Linked DNA regions of Anolis sagrei. The protein of the gene in region 1 interacts with the protein of each later gene in a pairwise test. Links are inferred from orthologs where the notes say so. Each region holds a gene or a part of one and is shown in the gene's direction. Other genes may lie near its edges.

Region 1 (12,319 bases):
ATCATCTCTGAAAGATCGTCTGCCAGTGTCCGCAGAAAGACATGGGAAATCCTAAGAACAGCACTATAAAACCCTGCAACCCCCACCAACATGGAAAGGCAGCAGCATAGTCAGTGCTAGATTTAGGACAAATGAGATCCCGTGCTACTTCAGTTATGAAGCCCCTTACTTCACATTTTGACTTGTACCACATAAGCAAAATCTATCTTTTTTTTTTTTTTTTGCAGGAAGATGGGCCCTCTCTGACAAACGGGGCCCTGTGCTTAAGCACACCTCAGCACAATGGCAAATCCAGCACTGAACATAGCGAACTTCAAGAGAGTATCCCTCCCATGAACTCTTATGTCCTCAATATTACCACATTGCTGCAATCAGAAGTGAAATTGAAAAAAAGTTTTAATTCAATTTACTCTATGAGGTGGAATAGATGAACGAAGGAAAGAGCTGTGCACTTGTCATCATCATCGGCTATCACTTGTGGCCAAGTATGATTGCCTTCCAAGTGGAGAGTCTTGACAGTGGATCCAGAAGTGACTTTAGAGACCTCTTTTGGATGTACATTTTCTTTTGCAGTGAGGATATAGATTTCCAGATGGAAGGCGATCTCGACAAGGATTGGCTTGATGCGCCTTCCTCTTGACACGTTTTTCTCTTTTGCCCTCCATTTGTACCTCTTCAGATTCACAGCACTGCTGGTAACAGCTGACCTCCAGTTAGAATTCTCGAGGGCCAGGGCTTCACAGTTCTCAGTGTCTATAGCACAATTTTTGCAGTTAGATTTAAGTCCATTTATAAATCTCTTTTGATGTCCACCGACATTCTGTTTTCCATTCTTGAGTTGAGAGTAAAGTAACTGCTTTGGGAGACGGTGATCAGGTATCCAGTCAATGTGGCCAATCCAGTGAAGTTGATGGCAGAGGATCACCGTGTCACTGCTGGTGGTCTTTGCTTCCTCCAGCATGCCAACATTTGTCAGCTTGTGTTCCTCAGAGATTTGCAGGATTTTTTTGGAGGCAACGCTCATGGAATCATTCCAGAAGTTGAAAGTGACATTGTAGATGGTCCACATTTTACATGTCTATAACAGAGTTGGGAGGACAATAGCATTATAAGAAGCATCTTGGTATCCCTTGATATCCCAGTCCTCAAGCATGCTCTGCTTCTTTCGAAAAAAATGCTGCACATGTACACTCAAGCAAAACTGCTGCAGCTTCTCTTAGCCTTTTTGTCATTAATAATTATTGTCATATTATCCACACCCTGATTTTGATTAGTATAAAGGGAAACAACAAGAAACAATATTGGAAATTATGGCAGCTCTGGATTCACCCATTTTGGATGGCAGCTCACTTTTTACACATGCTCCAGGGCCAATTTAGTGAAAATAATTCCTCACAAACCTATTGCATGGGGCTCTGACATGCAGGGCAGTGATCAATGGTGTTTGAGGAATGGGGGCCCTTGCATGGGAAGGGAGTTGCAGCCTCTCAACAAATGGCAGCAATTTCTGTTGACTGCTATTTTAGATCGATCTGGGGCAGTAATACAGACAGTGGGCAAGAGAGTTAAGAAAGACTCTGCAAAAATATAACAAACTTGCTGATTGCACCAAAAAATATTTTCAATTATGCAGAACAAACCAAGTGACACCTGTTGTACCTCTCCCCGCACTAAGCCCTGATGAAAATGATATAGTTGGCCTCCGTAACCATAAACTCTGCATCCATGGATTCAACCATCCACAGCTTGAAAATATTAAAAATAAATCCAAAAGGCAAACTGTGATTTTGTCAGTTTATATAAAGGAAACCATTTTACTATGACATTATATTTAATGGATTTGAGCATCCACAGATTTTGGTATCTATGGGGGGAGAGTGTCCTGGAACCAAACCCTGTCCCAGTGTATGCTGCTTTTCTGTCAATTAGATTTAAATGCTGAGGAAATGCTTAATGTTTAAAGGATTTTAGTTCTGCTCTATTGTTGCACTTTATTAAGTATTCCAGCATATACCTGGCCAGGTGCTCGCTAGAAAGTACTTAAGGAAAAATAAAGTTTCCAAGTTCTGGTTTTCATACAAAAAACTAAAAACCTAAAAAGTAGCAGGCTCCTATTTCACTGAGCATATACTTGAAACTTAATCTGAAGTATCCAAACAATATTACGTGTGTGGGGGTAGTAGCAAACATTACTATTGGGTTGTTGTAGGTTTTTCCGGGCTATATGGCCATGTTCTGGAGGCAATTTTTCTCCTGACGTTTCACCTGCATCTATGGCAAGCATCCTCAGAGGTAGTGAGGTCTGCTGGAAGTAGGAAAAATGGGTTTATATATCTGTGGAATGACCAGGGTGCCTTCTGGCTGCGAGAAATTGTGGGATGGTATCTGTGTCTCTGCAGCATAGAAGGAAAGTCAGGGAGCACAGTAGATGTGCTTTCCTGGTCCTTAGTTTTTCCAATTTCCGTGTGTCTTGGAACAGTTTCTCCCCATTACTATTGTTTAGCTGTGAATAGATGCCACTCCCCTGATACAACTGATTTTCTTTAAAGGGGGAAATGCCAAATGTGTGTATAGATAGATGGTAAAATGTAACAGAAAAAATAGATGAACTGTGCAAATTGAATACATTTGTTTTCATTACTGACATTACTGCTGTTTCATGTTATATACTGTAGAATCAACACTCAACAACAGCTCTATAATGCTGCCATCTAGTGTTTACAATACCTTCATGAAATTTATCAACCCCTTTTTAAAAATAGCAACGGGAGGACACTGTGCACTAAATTAAAACAGAACTTTTATTTTTTAGTCAAAAGAAATTGAAATTGTAACTAAAATGTGAGATGCCAGGAAGAGTAGGATGGAGGAGGACTAGCCACACTACATGAGAATCAGGGGAGTCGTTTTCCTGAGACCAAGAGGATAAATAAGGGAATTGGTAGACAGAAAGTTAACTAAAGAGTGGCATACTAAGAGGATCTCTCCTTCTCCCTTTCTTATATCTCAGTGGCACAGCCAGAATCACAATAGCTGGCACTAGACTAGAAAAATAAAATACAACACTACCTTGAGGGTGTGCACTTTACTATTTCAATACATGTATCTTTAGCATACCACCCTAGTAAGTATTTTGCTAGCAATAGAATTAAATAAACTTCATTTCGCAATTTAATTTTTAAAAGAGACATGAGACTATTTTGCTGCTGTACTAGAATTTCTGACAAACCCGTGAAGAAGAAGAAAATGAATACCTAAACACATAATGACCAAGTGATTCAGTTGTCGTTAATAATTTATTGTATGAAAGGTCTTTTCTAAGGCAGTTTATCTCATAAAGAACAAACATTTCATACTAAGAGCAATTCTTACTTTTATCTCGAGTTCACAAACAATATATGTAAACCAAAATCATTACTGTAAGTAATGCCTGTTTGATTTCAACTTGTTTAGTATCAGGCACTTAGCTAAGTAAGCAACATACTAGATAAGCAAAATGTTTCTTGCATGCCTTCAGGTCAGTTTTGACTTATGGTGACACTATCATGGGGTTTTCTTGGCAGAATTCATTCAGAGACACTTTGTCCTTGACTTTCTCTAAAGCTGTGAGAGTGTGACTTGCTCAAGGTGACACAGTTTTTTTTTCTATTGCTGAGTGGGGATTCAAATCCTAATTTCTCAACACTATACTGCAGCACTCAAAACCTTATACCATGCTGTCTTAAATTATATTCAATGCTGGTTTAAATTCTCAGATGTGTTAGATGACAATATCATACTGGTCACCCCAATCCCTGAAGAATACGAGCACGTTATTGAAATAGTAAAAACCTACTCATGGGCTTCTATACTGAAAGGCTGCAGAACACACTACCTTGGGCATTACTCCTGATACAAAGGACATTTAGTATTACAGGCTCCATGATGAAGACCAATTTAATGAGTAAACTCTTCAAGCCGCGCAAGCATTTTGCCCTCCTCCTCTAAAGCCAAGAAAGATAAACTTGATAACAGAAGGCAATATGGGCGGGAGTAGTCAAAAGGCATGGAGGCTGTTAAGACGGTTGAGCAATGAGTCCTCACAAAGTAATAACCATGCCAACGTAAAGGCAGATCAGATAGTGCATCAACTTTTGAAGAACGGGAAACCCAACCTTACCACCAAACTAGGAAGGAAACTAGACAACGAGATAATAACAACAACCTTCATGAACCTTTCACATCTACTAAATTGGAAATGCCTCTCTATAAATGTAAAAATGGCAAAGCAGCTGACCTGGATGATCTACAGACGGAACAAATTAAAAACTTTGGTCCAAAAGCATGGTGCTGGCTGCTGAAGCTGATGAACAACTGCATTGCATCCTGTCAGATCCCTAAAATCTGGAGGAAAGCAAGAGTCATAGTCATTTTGAAACCAGGCAAAGACCATAATGATGCAAAAAGCTATAGACCAATCTTCTTGTTCTACATCTTTATAAAGCTCTGGAGAGACTAATCCTGCAAAGAATTATGGAAAAAATAGACCAGTGTATGTTCTGAAAAAAGCTGCACATCACAAGTGCTGAACCTGACTCAGCACATAGAAGATGGTTTTGAAAGGCAGCAGATTACAGGAGCTGTCTTTATAGACGTTTCAGCAGCTTATGGTACTGTAAATCATCACCTCCTCCTGAAAAGGACTACAATCTGCTACAAAACAGGAGCTTTTTATTGAGTACCAGGGTCAGAGAAGCAGATGGTGAAAACAGAAGAACGGCCTGCCTCAGGGGAGCGTGCTGACTTCATTAGTGTTTGACATCTACACAAAAACCAGCCACTATCAGAATGGACAGAGAGTTCCATCTATGCTGACGATCGTGCCATCACCGCTTAAACAGGAAGCCTTGAAATGGTTGAACAGAAGCTCTCTGAAGCTTTAGGAGCTCTCTTTGCCTATTATAGGGAAAACCAGCTGATTCCTAATCCATCTAAAACACAGGTGTGTGCTTTCCATCTTAAGAACAGACAAGCATCTCGAGCTCTGAGGATTATCACTGGAGCATTGCAGCACACCCAAATCCTGGGAGTTACTCTGGACCATGCTCTGACCTACAAGAAGCACTGCTTGCATATCAAGCAAGAAGTGGATGCTAGAAATAATATCATATGAAAGCTGACTGGCACAACCTGGGGATCACAACCAGACACAGTGAAGGCATCTGCCCTTGTGCTTCGCTACTCTGCTGCTGAATACACATGCCCAGTGTGGAATACATTTCACTACATGAAAACAGTGGATGTGGCTCTTAATGAGACATGCCGCGTTATCACAGAATGTCTATGCCAGGCATGGGCAAACTAAGCTCCGGGGGCCGGATGTGGCCCCCTGGGTGCTTACCTCAGGTTCTCCTCATTGTCCCTGACGTCTCAGCATAAGGACAAGTGGCCTGCTGCATCCTTATGCAGAAGGGACAGGGGCGGAAGGCACGTAACAATTGAGAGTCCTCTGGAATGCTCTCGGCCACAGCATGTCTCACCCTCCTCCCAGCATAAGGAATGTGCCAGTGGCCCCTTCATTATGCTGAGAGGACAGCCTGAGGAAGGCAGTGGCTAAGAGCACTCCAAAGCGCTCTCAGCTGTCGTCTGTCTTACCTCCTCCCAGCATAATGCTGAGAGGACAGTCCAAAGATTGGGGGAGGATCAGGGAGGAAGATTGGGGCAGTTGTTGCATGTCTAATTTTCCTCTTGGCATAAGGATGAGGTGAGCAGCCCCATCCTTAAGCCAGGAGGAGAATTTGAGGATGATCCGGGTCCTGCCCTGCCCCCTCCCAGCTCCACTCTCTCACAGGCCCTCTCCCTCCCTGCCCAGCCATCTCGGTCAGGCCCACAATGCAGCCCCAAGGCAAAAAAGTTGGCCCATGTCTACGCCCTACACCACTAGGGAGTAGCCCCCGGTGACACAGTGGGTTAAACCCCTGTGCCGGCAGGACTGAAGACCGTCAGGTCGCAGGTTTGAATCTGGGGAGAGGCGGATGAGCTCCCTCTATCAGCTCCAGCTCCTCATGCGGGGACATGAGAGAAGCCTCCCACAAGGATGATAGAAACAACAAATCATCCAGGCGTCTACTGGGCAACGTCCTTGCAGATGGCCAATTCTCTCACACCAGAAGCGACTTGCAGTTTCTCAAGTCGCTCCTGACACGACAAAAAAAAAAACACAAAAAAACCACTGGGGAAATGTCAAGTAGCTGATATAGCACTACCTGACATCAATCGGGAAGTAGCCTGTAATTAAAGGACCAAGTCATTGATATCTCTGGCCCATCCTCTGTTTGGGTATCAGCCAGCAAGCCAACACCTTAAATCAATAAATAGCTTTTTAAGATCTACAGAGATACTTGCAGGAACATCTCAGCAAGCGAGAGTCCAAAAGTGGCAGGTTAAAACCTGGAACCTCAATACATGTTCTATACCATTTCACAGCTATGGCTGTTTAGAAGTGGTGCCAAACTGCATCAGTGCCTGAGTGGCTCCTGGTCCGTGCCTGAAGTCTACAAAAGGAGAAGGAGAGGAAGCTTTGGGAAACAGACACAGGCTGGAGGACCACAGGGGTTGTTTGCTAATGTCGTCATCGCTCTTCTCCTCGGAGTGGCCTCCCTCTCAGCCAATAGGAAGCGGCGCCGGGGCCTCGCGGGCGGCTCCCTCCCTCCTTCCTGCTGCGGGGCCGGGGCGGGACTTCCGTGCGGTAGTTGCGCTGAGGCGGAGATTGAGGTAGGCCCGTCGTGAGGGCGCGGAGGGAGGCCTCGCCTGTGCAGGAGACTCAGCCGCCACCATGCCCGGGATAGACAAGCTGCCCATCGAGGAGACGCTGGAGGACAGCCCTCAGGTCGGTCGCTGGGCCCGTTTTGGGCGTCGAAGCGTGTGGAGAGAAGGCGGAAAGGCCAAACTACGTTCACTCTAGAGTAGGCGTGGGCCAACTTGGGCCCTCTGGGTGTTTTGGACTACAACTCCCACAATTCCTAACAGCCGGTAGGCTGTTAGGAATTGTGGGAGTTGTAGTCCAAAACACCCGGAGGGCCCAAGTTGGCCCACGCCTGCTCTAGAGTGTAGAGTAGACCCTCACCCTCCAATTCCTACAATTCCTGGCTATTGAACATACTGGCTGGGGCTTCTAAGAACTGGAGGCTGAGGTTGCCTGGTGTGGATGCGCCCTGCGTGTTGTTAGGAATGCTCCAATTATACAGAAGTGTCCACAAGCTCTAATACAGTAGTTCTCAACCTGTGGGTCCCCAGATGTTTTGGCCTTCAACTCCTACACAGACAAGCCATTGAAATCCACAAGCATGTGGACAATTTCAACAGAAAGGAGGAAACCATGAAAATGAACAAAATCTGGCTACCAGTATTAAAAAAAACTCTAAAATTACAACAGCACAACAACAGAGAGGAAACAAACAAGAACATCTAATCACCTCTCAACAAAAGTTTGCTCTAGGCACTGTCAGGCCATTATATTCTAGTCAAGGTGGTCAGTTGAAACATTCACACCTAGCTCCAGCAGACAAGGGTCCTTTGTCTCACCCTGGTCATTCCACAGATATATAAACCCATTTTCCTAGTTCCAAAGACCTTACTACCTCTGATGCAGGCGAAACGTCAGGAGAGAATGCCTCTAGACCATGGCCATATAGCCCGAAAAAACCTACAACAACCCAACTCCTAGAAATCTTAACAGTTGGTAAACTGGCTGGGATTTCTGGGAGTTGTAGGCCAAAACACCTGGGGAGCTACTGCTCTAATATTTCTTTGAAGCACTACAATTTCCATCAAGGATAACGTGAAAAGAGCAGCAGATCTGGATAAATTATATTCCCGTTTTGTGTGTGTGTGTGTATATATATATATATGAGAGAGAGAGGGAGAGTCCCCTCTGGGAGATAGAGCTGAATACAAATAAAGCGTTCTTATTTTATCATTATATTGTGCAAGGATTCAAATTGCTGCCTCAGTGTGCCTACTCCACCCTTCCTCTTTGGTCAGATGGATTTGTTTATTGGTTGCTCTGAGATTGTCATCTTAAATGCTGCATTAGCTAAATTGGCTTCTGGTGAAACCTGTTCAGAGTTTTGCCTCAAAAGTATTATTATTAGTAAGAATAATCTTTATTTTTAACCCACCCTCTCTCCCCAGAGAGACTCAGAGCAACTTCCAAAAAGAAAAGATGGCAAACATCCAATGCCATGTGCGGTAACAAATTTTAAAAATTAAAGCAAACAGTTAATACACATTTAAAAATAGAAGAATTGAACAAGCTTGGCTAAAATATATATCTTAGCCAGGCCTCATAAATGACACCATAATCAGATTAAACCATTAAAATCTGTATAAATAAATTGTAAAAGTATAAAAATATAAGAATATAAAAATAAATATATAATGTCATATGTATTTATTTTGTATTATGTTAATCTATACTTTGTGCTTTTCCTGCATGGCAGGGGGTTGGACTAGATAGCTCTATGATTTTATAGGTATATGCATATTTCAGTATTTTTTTCTCTTTCCCATTGGTCTGAAGGTGAAATGCCAAATGTATGCCATTAGAATTGTGTGAAATTGTTAAACACTACATTTTAATTTAGACTGAGAGGTTTTGTTTTTTTCATTCCGAAAAAGGCAGTAATGAATTTGCTAGTTATAAGAGTTTGAGATTTTCGTTTCAACTATGGAAAAATCATCATTGTGTCCTGTGTGGCAAGAGAATGATGCTGAGCAATATCTTCTGATTTACCCGAAGAGTAAACTATAGTTTCTCATCTGTTCCTGCATAGGATATTTAATACATGAGGAGGTTGAAATACTTCCTGCACTCTGATCTGCAAAGCTGTTTGAGAAGTGCTTTATAGTCCTAACTTTTTGTGTTCTGTGCTCTTAGCTACAGCAATTGCAATAGTGTGCAAGTGTCATAAAAGATTCTTACAGCTCAATAAATTACCCTTTACACTGCTATTTGAGTGCAGTGGCTTTATTATAATCCACATTGACATGGCACTGTAACTACAGTGTGTGTATTATCTTACATCCTGATCCTATGTATTTTTACTCCAACACAAATCAAACAAGAATTACTTACAAGTAAGAATGAGATTGCAAATTTAGTGGTAATTTCACACTTTTTGCATTATATAGAACCTCTATACTCCAAAAGCTCTATCAGAATCAGTTCTTAATAATAAGCATTCTTCTGTAAAATCATCAAATGATAGTTTGTTTATATATTCTCTAGTCAAATATATCAGCAGATTTTTTTTAAAAAAATGGTTACAGTCTTGAATTATGAGCTAAGAAACTCCTGTTCAATCTCAACTTAACCATGAATGTATAATTAGGGGTAATCTTACAAGTTGTTTTTAATAATAATAACAACAACAACAACAACACTTTATTTATATTCCACCCTATCTCCCCAGTGGGACTCAGGGTGCATCACAGTACACATACACGGCAAACATTCAGTGCGGTTTGGACAAACAAGACAAGATGCCGAACCTTGTCTGTATAGCACTGTTTGTGTACATTGTTGCCTCCTGGTTTATAGTTTATGATGCCAAAATGTGACTTTTCTTGCCCTGAAACCCCTCAGTGAAACACTGATTTCTAGGATTTTATCTGTATTGGTTCATAGAACAAACACGAACTACTGCCTAGTACTTTCATTATTACAACAATCTATGGTTTGCCACAAACCAAGAATTATTTAACTAGAGCCCACAAGGAGTGGAAGAGCTATACCTTTAACCTGGATTTTATTACACCAAACTATAGATTGGCATTGCAGGTGAATTAGTGTTATGTTTTATGTGGTTTTATCTGAAAACAACTGAAAAGCCACATTAAATGTATAAACAATCAGAACCATTTAACATTATACATGGTGTTTTATCAAGGGACAGAGAAACATTGTAGTTAACAGCCATGTTTCACTTTAATGTGAAGTTCTGTGGCTGGCCAGTACATTGTCAAAACCATTGCTCAAGACTTTCCACACAGTTAAAGGCAGACTGGTGAAATGTCTTTGAGGGTTGTGATCTGCAAAGCTGAATGAGTAAAACTGTTGTGATGACAACATTTTTCCATATCACTCATTTCTCAGGAGATTGTATGTAAACCACATTGCCTATTCAGTACAAGAGATCTTCCATTATTGGCTAAGTGAGCCAAACTTTCATAATAAACTTACTAGTATGAAATAACATTTGGACATGGTGAACATGAAATAATAAATGAATGTTCAGATTTAATTTTGGCTGCTTGCTCGATTCACTAAATTGGACTACAGTTTTCTTTCTTTTTGGGGGGGGGGGAATCTTTCCACCCTGATCTGTCTGATGTGTAAAGACTCTGCATCATATTTTAGGTCTCAAACCAGTTGTGTCATAAGAAAGAGTGCTCAATCCTGTGAGTCTCTGCTATCACACTGAGAATGCATCTATTTGAATGTTGCACTGAGATGAAGTGAGCAGCTTGGCCACCATTATTGATAGAGGAGTCCATAATTTTTTGAGGAGCCTTGAAGACATTGCTTTACATTAGGATTGTATGTTAACATAACCACAACTAGATTTAAGTACCACTGAATTTTGAGAATGTGTTTCAAAAACATTCAGAAATAATGACTCTTGATACAAAATAGATTAGAGAAACTATCTCAGGCTCAGGTAAATAGTTTAGAAAGACTTTGCAGATGTCTACATCCAGATTGATTGGCTCAAGACTCAGTGATACCAGTGCAATGAAGTAAAGATACATGCAAGCCCGGAATATAATGTCTGAACCAGTAAAAGAAAAGGCTTGCCAATAGAAAATCACAACTGGAAAAGAAAACCACCAATTTCTTCAGTGATCATCTACACTTGAGAGAGTGAGGGAAATTTTAGAAAGGCTAGTGATCAGTCCTTCAAGGAAGCCAGTGTGATGTAATGGCTTGAATGTTGGACTATGTCTCTGGAGACCAGGGTTCAAGTCCCTGCTAGGTGACCATGGACAAGTCACACTCTCTCAGCCTCAGGAAGGTAAAGGCATAAACCCTTCTGAACACCTCTTACTGAGAAACATTGGTTTGTATGTCTCTGTGTGAAAGATATTTTCCCATGTGTTAGAGTGATAGGTGATTGCTTGTAAAAGACCATAGCCGGGCCCTTCCTACCAAATATGTGATAGTGTGAGGTACAATGTTGCCATCTAGCTAACAGTGCCATTTTCCAGGTTTTTTTTTTTTTGGTCGTGTCAGGAGCGACCTGAGAAACTGCAAGTCGCTTCTGGTGTGAGAGAATTGGCTGTCTGCAAGGACGTTGCCCAGGGGACACCCGGATGATTTGATGTTTTATCATCCTTGTGGGAGGCTTCTCTCATGTCCAGGAGCTGGAGTTGATAGAGGGAGCTCATCCGCCTCTCCCCGGATTCAAACCTGTGACCTGTCGGTCTTCAGTCCTGCTGGCACAGGGGTTTAACCCACTGCACCACCAGATGACCTGGTGTATTTTCTATCCCACCCCAAACAGACCAATAGCATTCTGTGACCTTGGAACACAGATTAGAATAAGGTTAATTTTGGTTTCTTAAGTTGTTTTTTCTAAAGCTTGGGGATGTCAATAATGGCAAAGGATTTCCAGGTTATTTGCTTATGAAATATACGATGTAGACTTCAGTAACTTTGTTATTGGTAGTGACTGGCAATATAAAAACCAAAAGTAGTAATTTGTGTTCTTTTAATAGTTGATTCTCGTGAGTGTGAAAATGAAGGGTTCCTTAAATAAAAAAAATCCCAGCATACATTTAAAAAATCTCAAAATATCCACTCTAGAAGGCATACACAGGACTATTTATCTCTGTAATTGGTGACTCAGAAGCTAGATCTAAGTCCAGTATGGAAAGAAGACCAGCTGGAAGTAGCAGGTCATTTTATGTGTCATCAGCATCTCTTAACTGGAAGCATCAACTATACTGAATAATCTGCATTGAATATGCAATTTCCACTTTTTGCTTTGTACAAGTATTGATTGACACATTACCCATAAATCATGCTATGGCTGAAAAACTCTCTAGTTATGGTAGTCACCATCCTGTAAAAATTGATTCCAGAATAAATTTATGAATTGCTAGGGGAAATATGGTATGTACTTCCATTTCAGGGGCTCCCCACCAGTCAGTTTAGTCTTTTTATACTGTTGTTGAATTTATGTATGTCTTAGATTCTTCCTATTCCAATTTCAGAAATTGCTCAGTTGCAGGTCCCAGAATTCATTGCCATTGACTATGCGGGCAAGGGCTGATGGAA
Region 2 (12,392 bases), on another chromosome or scaffold:
GGTCCTCTCTCTTCCCATGTGACTTAATGTGATCCTCCACTCAAAATAAACCACTGGAGGACCTAGAGAGGATGTTTTTAATCAAAATCCACAAGTAATTAAATCTGCAAAATGTGGAGGGTCAACTGTAACTATAGGGAGCATGCAACACTCCTATGAAAACAGCTTCATTGGCTGCCGATAAGTTGCTGAGCCAAATTCAAGGTGCAGGTCATGACCTATAAAGCCCTAAATGGTTCGGGCACTGCCTATCTCCACAATCGCATCTCCTTCTATGAACCAGCGCGAACTCTAAGATCGTCTGGGGAGGCCCTCCTCTCGGTCCCACTACCGTCTCAAGCACGGTTGGTGGGGACGAGAGAGAGAGGGCCTTCTCAGTGGTGGCCCCCCGTCTCTGGAACGCCCTTCCAAAGGAAATAAGACAGGCCCCATCCCTCCCCTCCTTTTGTAAGAGCTTGAAGACCTGGTGGTTTCAACAAGCCTTTGAAAATGACCAGTTCTAACTCAGCCCCACACATTGTCTAATACGGCCTTATTCTTCCTACCAGTTACCCAGACGGCCTTATTCTTCCTACCAGTTACCCAGATTCTTTCCTCTAATCAGCCCCAGAATGAACAGCAACAGACCCATACCTAATATTATTGTTGCCTGCCATAGCATTGCACTTAATTCCCGGGCCCCCTAGAATTTTGGGGCTTGCACAAATCTTGGCCCAGCCTTTTAAATTTTTAATTGCCTTGAACAGGCAGGCTTATTTTTAATACAGGGTTAGTCAAAATGCATAGGCCAATAAGCCATTCAATTGAATGGCTTATTGGCCTATGCATTTTGACTAACCCTGTATATGTGTGTTGTGGCGACAATTTGTATGTTTATATTTTGTTTGTTAATCTTATAGTTATGTTGTTTTTACTCTGTATGTTTTGTGATATTACTTGGGAACTGTTCTGAGTCCCCTCGGGGAGATGGAGAGGTATATAAATAAATTATTATTATTATTATTATTATTATTATTATTATTGGTTTGCATCTAGCTATAGGGTCATCTAGCTATAGGGTCACACTTCTCTGATGGGGGTTGAACAGATTAAACATAGTTCTGCTTGCAGAAAAAAATACACTACATTGTTGACTACCAAAGTCTCACAATCACATATGAAACAGAGACATGAAGAAAAGGCAGGTGGGATTCATAAGGCATAATGAAACTGGGATATCCACATCCCTAAACCCAGCTAACCTCTCACAGTAGAAGAGTCAGGGAACAGCTTACTGTAGCTTTGAGCATGGACTTCCACATTCTCTATTATAATAACATGCCCTCATCCTAGAAACTTTCAGTCCACTAAAGGGATTAGTTCCTTATTTGCATCTTTGGGTGAGGGAGTAGGCAGACAATTTAACATTCTCATTTCTCTTTCAAATTTCCATCAGTGCTGTGGTTTTCCTTTATTTCATACAGTGCTGTTTCCCATCTCCTAAACTGTTGGGGTTAGGGGGTCAAGAAATTAGAAAATGTAGGAAGACTTGCTCATTGCAGAGTACTTTGAAACGTATAACATAAAGCAGGGGATGAGGTTAATACTTAAGTTTGTGCAGAAATCCAATTGAGATAAAATCCTGGTTTTATGGAGGCAAAATCCAGAGCAGAATTGGGACTACCATATAGATGAGGAGAGGTGTATTCCCAACAGGAAGACTTCTAATATCCAGAGAGGTCATGGTTAGGGAGGGAAAGAATATTTGAAAATATTGTTAATTATTAAAAAACCTTTTTAGTGTCAATGAAATCCTATTTAAAACTGACAACAATCTTTGCAGCTTGAAAAATTTTCTGCACAAAATTCACAAGTTGTTGTTTTGCTTTTAAAAACAGCATTTTCTTTTTTCGCACAGAAAAAAACCAGTTTCATGCAAAGAGAAGACTGTGATCAGGGACTTATCCTAAAGAAAATTAATGTGTAGATAGTTTGCATGAAAAAAATCACTTTCTGTAAAGAAAACAGAATTTTCTATTCATAAAATATTTGTTTCTGGCCAGAAATGTTTTCTGTACAAAACAACCATGTGTAAATTTAGTGCAGAATGCATTCCAGATTGCAAAACCCCAAAACCCTTCAAAAACTGTATGATTTTCAAAGACTTACGGGGAGGAAAAATGCTATGATTGCTTGTTGCTTCATTTGAAAAATAAAGAATTACACTGCTAGTTATCAGCAGGATAAAAAAAATCAATCTTTGTGTTTATATGAAACTTTCTTTCATCTAAGTACTGTTGATACCTTTGCGGTGCATCATGTCACATAGGACTTGTCCCCTCCTCCCTTGCACAATGGATTGTTTGTAGCCCCCAAGTTGTGTAAACCAAGACAAAAGAATTTCCTCAAGCAAGAATCGATAGCAACATTCTCTATACCTTGCCCAAAGAAGAACAATCCATTGTCTGTTGAAGACCTATGGCACAATTGGGCAATATGTAACCTATGGGTCATAGGAGTCCCCTCTCCAATTACTTGTATGATTCTCTGCCCCTCAAGAGCCACAAGAAGTCCTTTGAGGTTCCCAGTATTAGGCATCCCCTCAAATAATAACTAATCAAAGGAAAATGGCTCTGAATCCATTTTGAAATGCATACTGTACAAAATCAAAGGAAGTAATTATATCATGCCACGATGGAAAGAAGACTGTGGTCTTTTAAAAAATAAAAAATGGATATGAAAGTTATTTAGCACGAATAGCAGAGTAGGCTCATGAGGTCCATACCTGTAGTGAAGCAAATACATTCCTGGTTTTAACTCCATCTCTAAGGAACTATCTAAGGTGCTGAATCCTATCCCCAGAAGTTCTTTGAAGTTCAAAATGAAAGCCAAAATGTATCCATCACCACAATGACATGGAAGCCACAACTCCTCCTTGATTCCTAAAACAGAAGTTTAAATCATCATAATCTCCCAAATCATTACTAATGTCGTTATATGCAAGTGTGGTCAAGTTATTTTGATATCTAGTTCAAAAACCCCAATAAACATATCTGCAGTATGCAGTCATTGCTAACCGGTGACAGGCTATTCGTGCCTGAGGCAACTACCTCACTCTGCCTAATGCAAAGCCAGCCTGGTATAACAGTGGAAGGAAAAGTATCATGGAGATATACAACAGATAGTCCCCCCATGGAGCATTTTTGATTCATAGGAACTATTTCCTTAACCTTTGCATGGAGGCTACTTGCCACCATTCAGTAGCAATACTAGTGTGTGTGTGTGTGTCTGTGTGTGTTCAACTACCCATATGTTTGGTTATGTCATTGTGCATTTGCTTGCAACATTGAAGATAAGCATCTATCTTAACATGGCTAAACAAAGCAAAACAAAATAAGATGTCAGCCAGCCCCTTCTTGAGCAGAAACACCGGGGAGAAAATGTTCTCCTAAATCAGATAACCTTCTCAGGACCATGGCCATTTCAGTCTTGGTGAAATATTACATATTGATTTAATGTCTGTCTGTTTCCATCACATCACAACTCTCTGGAGTTTCCCATTCTCTCCACTCAACCAGAGGCTTCATTCCAACATTGTTACAGATCAAACCTCAACTACAGAGCCATTCTTAGCAACCCCAAAAGCGCATTCACTGCAAGTGATCTTTCTTTGTCTTGTTGCAATTAGACTGCTTTCGGGTCAGAGAAAACAAGGCAGGCAGTCCAGCGTTTTGTTGTTTGTTTATATACACTACTGAAAGACTTGGCAAGCTCTGAAATGAATGACAGGCAGCATCCCTTCCAAGGATATTTATGGAGGCTTTTCTGGAAATGTTCAATGGGCCACCAAAAATCTCTCTCAATTACAAATTGTGAAATGGACTCCTTTCTGTATTGTGGTCATATTTCACTCTCCAAAGGTGTGAGGGCATGCCTCTTTCAACTGACCCTTTTCACTGTTTTGATCGTTACTGATTATTGATTTTAATGGTTTATAGTTGGATTTGTTTCAAAGGATGGAGTTAATGCTCTTATTATTAACTCTGATTTTAGGTATGTTGTTAGCTGCTGTGAGTTCTTTTGGTTTGTCTGTCTGTCTGTTTGTTTGTAAGTGGATGAAAGCTGCAGCAAAATACCTAAGGACCTCATCACATGGGTGAGGTCCATTGTCATGATTCACCAGCCTTCGTGGTGAATTATGGTGGCAGCAGGTCAATAGCTGCCAGCTGACATTTCTCCATCCCTTGTGGGGAAGCATTGCTGCTCTGCCAAAGCCCCATTGTTCCTTATGGAACATGGGGCAGATTCCAGTTTTCCTATGGAGCTCCACTGAAAGTCAACCTACATTGTTTGAGGAACGGCATGGGGCTCCATGGGTGAACCGGGTCAAAAGCATCCTAGGACACTTCAATTGCCCTATATGATAAGGCTGCAAATAAAGAGACAAGATACAATTGTTATGTAATTGAATGTGAATCCAAACACCACATAGATATTGCTTGCAGAATTAAATCAATATGTCAAGAAGAAGAGTTCAAGCCAGGCTCGCATTCACACTAATGCAAACAGATAAAAACCTTTTTATTCAAGTAGTCCTTTGAGAATTGATGTTTCAGGCTGGATGTATACTGCCATATAATCCAGTTTCTGAATCCTGAATATTACTTTTGAACTGGATTATGCAGGTCTACACTGCCATATAATCCAGTTCAAATCAGACAATCTGGATTCAGAAACTGGGTTATATGACAGTGCAGATGGAGCCTCAGGGAAATCAGGCCTTGTACAAGATGCACTATATATCTTTATTGATGTATTTGTTTTAACTGGTTTCTCATTTTATGATGGTATACTTGTTGTGGATGTTTAACTGTGTTTGATTAAACTTTATGAACTAAACCTGTATGATACAGTGGATAGTGAACATGGATAAAGCATGGCATGTGGCATTTCAAAGGATTTCATGCAATGGGTGAAGAGCATAAGATCTTCTGCTTGAAATGTTAAGAAATGTCTAGTACTGTCTAGATAAGGTCATGATGGTGTGGGTATTGAGAGTTCTAATCCAACACATCTGAAGGATGCAGGTTGGGAAATACTGGTCTAAAATAACCAACTGACTGAGTTAGTATAAGGCAGTTTCATACATTCACATAAAAAGGAGTCAACACTCCCCAAAACACTCCTGAAGTTGCTGGTGAGCTCCATGTCAGCAAGGATTGGAATTTATCTACATGTCAGTGTGAACTTTGAAGGAGCTATCCAAAGTGCTGGATTTATTTTGAGGTTGGGGTCAGCTCCACTGACAAGCAAGGCACCAGTTTCATGGCAAGCTCCACCTTGCCTTTCTCTCCTTAGTCTCTTAAAAGTACCACTGTTTTCATCACCTAAAGCATCATCCATAGCCCTTTTCACTGACTCCATCCTATGTTGCATGTAAATGTTTATTGGCATCAAATGCATCATCACTTCATCACAAGAGTGTAGCAATTGGGACTGGGAGGTGCACTTAGGGTATTATCCCTCCCAAAAAGATGTTTGCCTCCTAACTCAGTGAAGTTTTCCTTCACTCTCCAAATTGCAATCATTACAATAATTTAATATTCGAGCCATAAATATTACAGTTTAAGTATCCAAAGGTAAGGGCAGGCTATGTTACATTGCATATGCAAACATTGCAAGTGTAAGAATTCTAGGTGAAGATGATTTTCAGTGTCTCAGTGTAATGATAGAAATTTTGGCACTGAAGAGAACTTTTACCAAAAGGCAGAATTTTGAGTTTGGAGAGGCAATGCCCTCATTTTTCCCCCTGCTCCTTGTTTCCATTTAGTCTGAGTGACCCTGGCAGAGTATAGCTCAGGCATAGGAAAACTTTGGCCATCTGGGTGTTTTGGACTTCAACCCTCACAATTCCTAACAGCCAGTAGGCTGATAGGAATTTGGGAGTTGAAGTACAAAATACCCAGAGGGCCAAAGTTTGTCCATGCCTGGTATAGTCCATATGGAGCAATGCTACTCTGGACTGGTGCTAGTCATAGAATCATAGAGTTGGAAGAGACCTCATGGACCATCCAATCCAACCCCCTGCCAAGAAGCAGGAAAATCACATTCCAAGCACCCCTAACAGATGGCCATCCAGCCTCTGTTTAAAAGTCTCCAAAGTCAGCCACTGGTTACTGGCAAGTTTGAAGAAAAGAAGAAAACATCTGTACCCAGTGGGTATAAACATAGTGTTGTTCCTTGGCACAATGGAGTGGAAAATGTTGCTACACACACACACGCACACGCACACGCGCACACACACACCCATGTGTGTGAGAAGCAATGAAACAGAGGATCTTTTCCTTGGACTTCACGTAACTCTCCACAGGCCTCTGAGGCGTGGCTTCAGAGAAGTGAGAGAATGTGAGTGTGAAGCAAGGAGGAGTTTGCCATTCAGTGGACAGACTAGAGGGCAATGTGAAGGCAAGGATGGCTCTGGTTTACCTTTGCCTCCTGCTGCTGCTGCTTCCCTCGGGGACTTGTTCAGGTTGCCAACATCCGCTCTGCCAATGCTCAAACAGGATGGCCTTCATCTGCCAGGAGAACAAGGTGACCTCCGTGCCAAAGGACATCCCCAGGAATTCCACCGAACTGTGAGTAAAGGGAGGGAAAAGCAAGCAAAGAAATGTTGCCAAGTTACATAGCAGGCTCTGGTTTGCAGGGGAAAGAGCTCCTAAAACATCTGGACAGTGATGACGGCCTTCTAAAAGGGATGCTCAACTCCTCCAGAAACAATATTTGACCTGCTCACCCCTTCCCCGAAAGCATTTTGAAATGAGCAAAGACTAGCTCGGCCAACTTTTTTTTTCTGGATGTGTCTCCAGTAATTTATATGAAAGTGCTCAACATTCTTTCTGAAACACAGTTACTTCAACGCAACTGAAACTACAGAGTTTGTGTGCCAAAGTATAGTTGGCTTAATTGAAGGTTTTCTATATTCCATCTGATAAAGAATGTTGGTGGTGTTGGTTGTTGGTTCTTTTTTAGAACCTGGCATTTTCATTGGGATTCCATATAGAGAACTGTTTTCTTTCTTTTTCATTTCTCTCAGTGAGAAGTTAGCTGTTTGCCTTCGGATCACAAAAAGTACTTTGTGAACTTTGTGATGTGTTCAAAAAGGAGCTAGGGAAAGGAATCTTAGATAAAGTCCAAACAAAAGACCAAATAGTCCTTGCAGAGTGAAACAGTCCTAGAACAACTAATGAGAATAAATGGAGGCAGCTCCTTGTGTTGGATTTCTCAACGGCAAGACAGTTACTTAAAGTTCCTATTTATTTTAGCACAGACTGAAACAGCCAATGTTCTTTATCAGATGTGGCTCCAGTTTGCTAACACTAAAATATACCACCAGCACTTAGCTGTGTGGTCATCACTAAAAAAAATATGGAGTTTCATCACATTTAGCCAAATTACAACCGATTTTTAGTTTAGCCTACAAATGCATTGAGTAAAGATATGGACCAGTTAAAGTAAAGATTTTCCCCTGACATTAAGTCCAGTCATGTCCAACTCTGGGGGTTGGTGCTCATCTCCATTTCTAGACCAAAGACCCAGCATTGTCCGTAGACACCTACAAGGTCATGTAGCCAGCATGGCTACATGGAGTGCCATTACTTTCCGACAGAGTGGTACCTATTGATCTACTCATGTTTGCATGTTTTCAAGTTGCTAGGTTGGCAGAAGTTGGGGCTAACAACAGGAGCTCACACCACTCCCCGGATTCAAACCTGCGACCTTTCAGTCAGCAAGTTCAGCAGTTCAGTGGTTTAACTGACTGTGCCACCGGGGGCTCCTACTTATAGACCAGTTATGGTTCCACTAATGGGAGAGTGCAAGAAGTCATGATAGATGCCATGCAATTCACCTTAAAGGGTACTTTATGGCACAACATTTTCATAAAATAATAATTTAAAAAATAATTATGCCACAAGTGTGCTGGTATTTTTGTTTGTTGGAAAAATAACCATTTTTGTTGACTTCTTCATTTAGCAACTTATAATTAGGGTGTATTTGGACTGTTGGCTAGCACCAATCTTATTCTTTGAGCATGGATCTATGTAGCCTGAACATAATAGGGAGATATCCTAAGTCTTGAGGGAATTAACAGATTTACAGAATTACAAGAGGCAGGGGTCCTAAAGGATAGAAGCAGGAAGCATAATAGGGACTGAGCAGGCTCAGTGACCAAAGAGTGCCTGACTGAATTTTGGAAGATAAAGAAGAAAAGGAGAAGGAAGTTAAAGAGAGAAGGATGTGTGGAATGGAGTATACTTGAAGAGGACAATGGATGACTAGCTGGTTGCAGTCTTAAACAGGAACAATTTGCATTGTGATGTTTAATTGCATGTCCTGATTGTATTCATATATCTTTTTATTCAGTGGGCTTTGAGTATCTACTCATGTTTGGTTCCAGGACCCCTGTGGATATCCATGAGTATCAAAGTCTCATTATATACAATGGCATAGAAAAAAAATTCTTTGGGGATTTCTTTTCTTTTCAAGCCATGGATGGTTGAATCTGTGGATGCAGAATTCACAATGACCAGGATTGACCACACCAAATGCCTAAGAAGAAATTGATGTTGCCATTTGTATCAGACAAAATCTGGTCCCTGGGTTGCTGTGAGTTTTCTAGGCTGTATGGCCATGTTCCAGAAGAATTCTCTCCTGACCTTTCGCCCACATCTATGGCAGGCATCCTCAGAGGTTGTGAGGTCTTTTGAAAACTAGGCAAGTGAGGTTTATATATCTGTGAAATGTCCAGAATGGGAGAAGATATATATCCACAGATACAGAAACCTCATTTGAGGGGCATTCCAACAGGCCCCTCAACCTCTGAGGATGCCTGCTATAGATGTGGGCAAAACATCAGGAGAGAATGCTTCTGGAACATAGCCATACAGCATGGAAAACTCACAGCAACCCAGTGATTCCAGCCATGAAAGCCCTCGACAACACAAAATCTGATTAAATTCTTAAATAAATAGAACCATCCCAACCCCCTTAGGCAGATTTTAGTAAGTCTTACACAAACTTTGTTACCTTTCTCTGAACCTCCTTAGACTATTAACCTAAAGAAGCATCCCCAAATCTGTTTCAGATTTAATCTGGGGATATATTTTAGTGGCAGCTCTTTTCTCTTTCTCTTAGGTCTTTTTATCCATTTCCCACATCTGTCCCCCTGTTTAAGTAATCATTCAACAATCCAAAATTGGAAGAAAGCCGGATGAGAGCAAGGAGAGATAAAAAGTGGCAATTTGAACTCACTAATAGGAGGAGAACCTGTGGATCAAAATATATAGTAAAGAATACTTGTGATAGCCACCACAATGCTTTCTTTTGAGTGGCTGACAGTATTTTGAAAAGTCATATATTCATAATACCTAGGAGTACATGATACATTTATGGATGGGGAGAGTATTAACAATATCTGGGAAGGAAATGGTTGAAAGTGTGTTCCTGGGAGCTTGGAGAACTGCACCTAATCTCCACACTTCATTGATCAGTTGTCCCCATCCCCCCCAGAAATTTCCAAGAAAAGCAATTGGTCAGTTTGCTGCATGTTTAGATCTTTGTAGGCCATACTTTTAAAATCATAGAATCATAAAGTTGGAAGAGACCTCGTGGGCCATCCAGTCCAATCCCATTCTGCCAAGAAGCAGGAAAATCGCATTCAAAGCACACCCTAACAGATAGCCATCCAGCCTCTGCTTTAAAGCCTCCAAAGAAGGAGCCTTCCCCATCCTTGTCTTATTTTGTGTAAGAAAATTCAATAGTTTAACTGTGTGCCACGTAAAAAAAAATCCTCTTTTTGTCTATGTTGAATCTCCTCTAACTCACAATCCATGAATGATTCATAAATGTGGTCTCTTAACAAGAAATTTGACTTAGGAGTGTATATCTCCTATTTGGTGGGCTTTTCTTCACCATTACCCTATTTCCCTCCAAAACCAAAACTATCTGGAAGCCAATTTCAGATTTCCTAGAAACATTTGAAAAGGATGGAGGATCAAAGTTAGGTCTGTGTGTGTTTATTCATTCAGTTGTTTCCGATTCTTCATGATGTTATGGACCAGACCACGCCAGAGCTCCCTGTTGGCCATCGCCACCCCCAGTTCCTTCAAGGTCAAGCCAATCACTTCAAGGATATCATCCATCCATCTTGCCCTTGGTCGACCCCTCTCCCTTTTTCCTTCAGTTTCCCCCAGCAACATTATTTTCTCCATGCTTTCCTGTCTTCTCATTCTGTGGCCAAAGTATGTCATCTTTGCCTCTAATATCCTTTCCTCCAGTGAGCTGTTGGGCTTTATTTTCTGAAGTACAGACTGGTTGAATCTTCTTGCAGTCCAAGTATTTTCCTCCAACACCACAGTTCAAAAGCATCTCTCTTCCTTCACTCAACCTTCCTTGTGGCCCAGCTCTCACATCCATAGGTTGCTATGGGGAATAACACTGCTTTAACTATGCGGACCTTTATTGTGTGATGTCTGTACTCTTAACCGTTTTATCAAGATCGGTCATTTCTCTCCTCCCAAGAAGTAAACATCTTCTGATTCCCTGGCTGCAGTCCGCATCTGTAGAAGTCTTTATGCCTAAGTTAGGTCTAGATTAGAGTTTGTTTTAAAGAAGAATCAAACTAAGTGAATTTCTCCTCTGAAGTAATGCCAGGAGGATTTCAGGGGGGTGTGGGATTGATTGCTGCCCATAGGTTGCATGTTAGCTAATTCTCATGTGAAGCAACCATTAATCTCAATTAGGCAATCACAATTATATGAGCTTTTCTTTAGACAGGAAGCAAGACGATCCTATTGATCTCAAAATATGAGACCAAGGAATGGGCTCTGATTTTGTTTTTGTTGTGTCAGGAGCAACTTGGGAAACTGCAAGTCACTTCTGGTGTGAGAGAATTGGCCGTCTGCAAAGACGTTGCCCAGGGGACGCCCGGATGATTTGATGTTTTTATCACCCTTCTGGGAGGCTTCTCTCATGTCCCCGCGTGAGGAGCTAGAGTTGATAGAGGGAGCTCATCTGCCTCTGCCCGGATTCAAACCTGTGACCTGTCGATCTTCAGTATGGGCTCTGATGATGTCACAAGGATGGAGCCCAATGCTGTCATCACACATTATGTATTAAGCAAGAATCTCTCTGACACACACAGCTTGTTGTGCAAACATAAAATATACATGCAGAGTTGGAACCTATTTTCCTGGTTGGAAATTAAATGTCTTTGCAAATTGAAACACTGGCTTTAAAACAATTAACCTTTGCAAAGCACAGCAAGCTGCCCAGCCAGTCAGAAGGCTCCCTACCTGAGCAAAAGGTTGCATGCAGCCTTATCTCTTGACTGACTCCATGACAACTGGAAAGTTTAAATCTTCACCTGCCGCCTGGGAACAATCCACCGAAACTCCAGGCAGTAGCCGAGGGTCTAGCAACCCCATCATACACTCATTTGTTATGGCTTCTGCCTGCAACCCTGTTCCACTCTTGGGTTTTTAATTGGCAACAGCAACAGGACAAGAGCACATTTTGACCCTCTATTATGTGTTCAGATTTTTACATTGAGAGAATGGACTCAGGACAGAAAGTTTTCATGGAGTTTTGGACTGCATTTGTGCTGTAGAATTAATGCAGCTTGACAACACATTTTGTTCGTGTCAGGAGCGACTTGAGAAATTGCAAGTCACTTCTGGTGTGAGAGAAGAGGCCGTCTGCAAGGATGTTGCCCATGGAATACCCAGATGTTTTGATGTTTTACCATCCTTGTGGGAGGCTTCTCTCATGTCCCCGCATGGAGAGCTGGAGCTGACAGAGGGAGCTCATCTGCACTCTCCCCAGATTTGAACCTCTGACCTGTCGGTCTTCAGTTCTGCCATAACAACACCTGAACTGCCATAACTCATTGCATTGAAATCTTTGGTATGTAGTCCAGCAAGGTCTTTAGCCTTCTTTGCCAAAGGGTGCTGGTGCCTCACCAGACTACAATTCCCATGATTCAAAAGCATTGAGCCATGGCAGGGTTTTTTTATCGTGTCAGAAGTGACTTGTGAAACTGCAAGTTGTTTCTGGTGTGAGAGAATTGGCCATCTGCAGAGACGTTGCCCAGGGAATGCCCGGATAGGTTGCCATCCTGTGAGACGCTTCTCTCATGTCCTCGCATGAGAAGTTGGAGCTGACAGACAGGAACTCACCACATCTCATGAATTCGAACCACTGACCTTCAGGTCTGCAATTTAGCCAGCACAAGGGTTTAACCCATTGTGCCACAGCAGCTCCTAACCTGGAAAGTTTAGCAAGGCTTTGTACAATAAGGAAAGTTTAGCAAGGCTTTAAAGTAGTGTCCATCTGCACTAATTCTACAGTGTAGATGC

The links.
Region 2: the proteins of APPL1 (region 1) and FSHR interact in a two-hybrid assay, tested with the Homo sapiens proteins (2 studies listed by BioGRID). The link is inferred for Anolis sagrei from reciprocal best matches to the Homo sapiens genes APPL1 and FSHR.

Annotation. Positions count from the first base shown.
Region 1 is NC_090022.1:57,954,366-57,966,684, reverse strand, and holds the start of APPL1 (DCC-interacting protein 13-alpha), read left to right. Parts: upstream 1-6,707; 5' UTR 6,708-6,814; coding exon 6,815-6,868; intron 6,869-12,319. UniProt on the Homo sapiens protein: Multifunctional adapter protein that binds to various membrane receptors, nuclear factors and signaling proteins to regulate many processes, such as cell proliferation, immune response, endosomal trafficking and cell metabolism.
Region 2 is NC_090021.1:20,247,274-20,259,665, forward strand, and holds the start of FSHR (follicle-stimulating hormone receptor), read left to right. Parts: upstream 1-6,439; 5' UTR 6,440-6,450; coding exon 6,451-6,614; intron 6,615-12,392. UniProt on the Homo sapiens protein: G protein-coupled receptor for follitropin, the follicle-stimulating hormone. Through cAMP production activates the downstream PI3K-AKT and ERK1/ERK2 signaling pathways.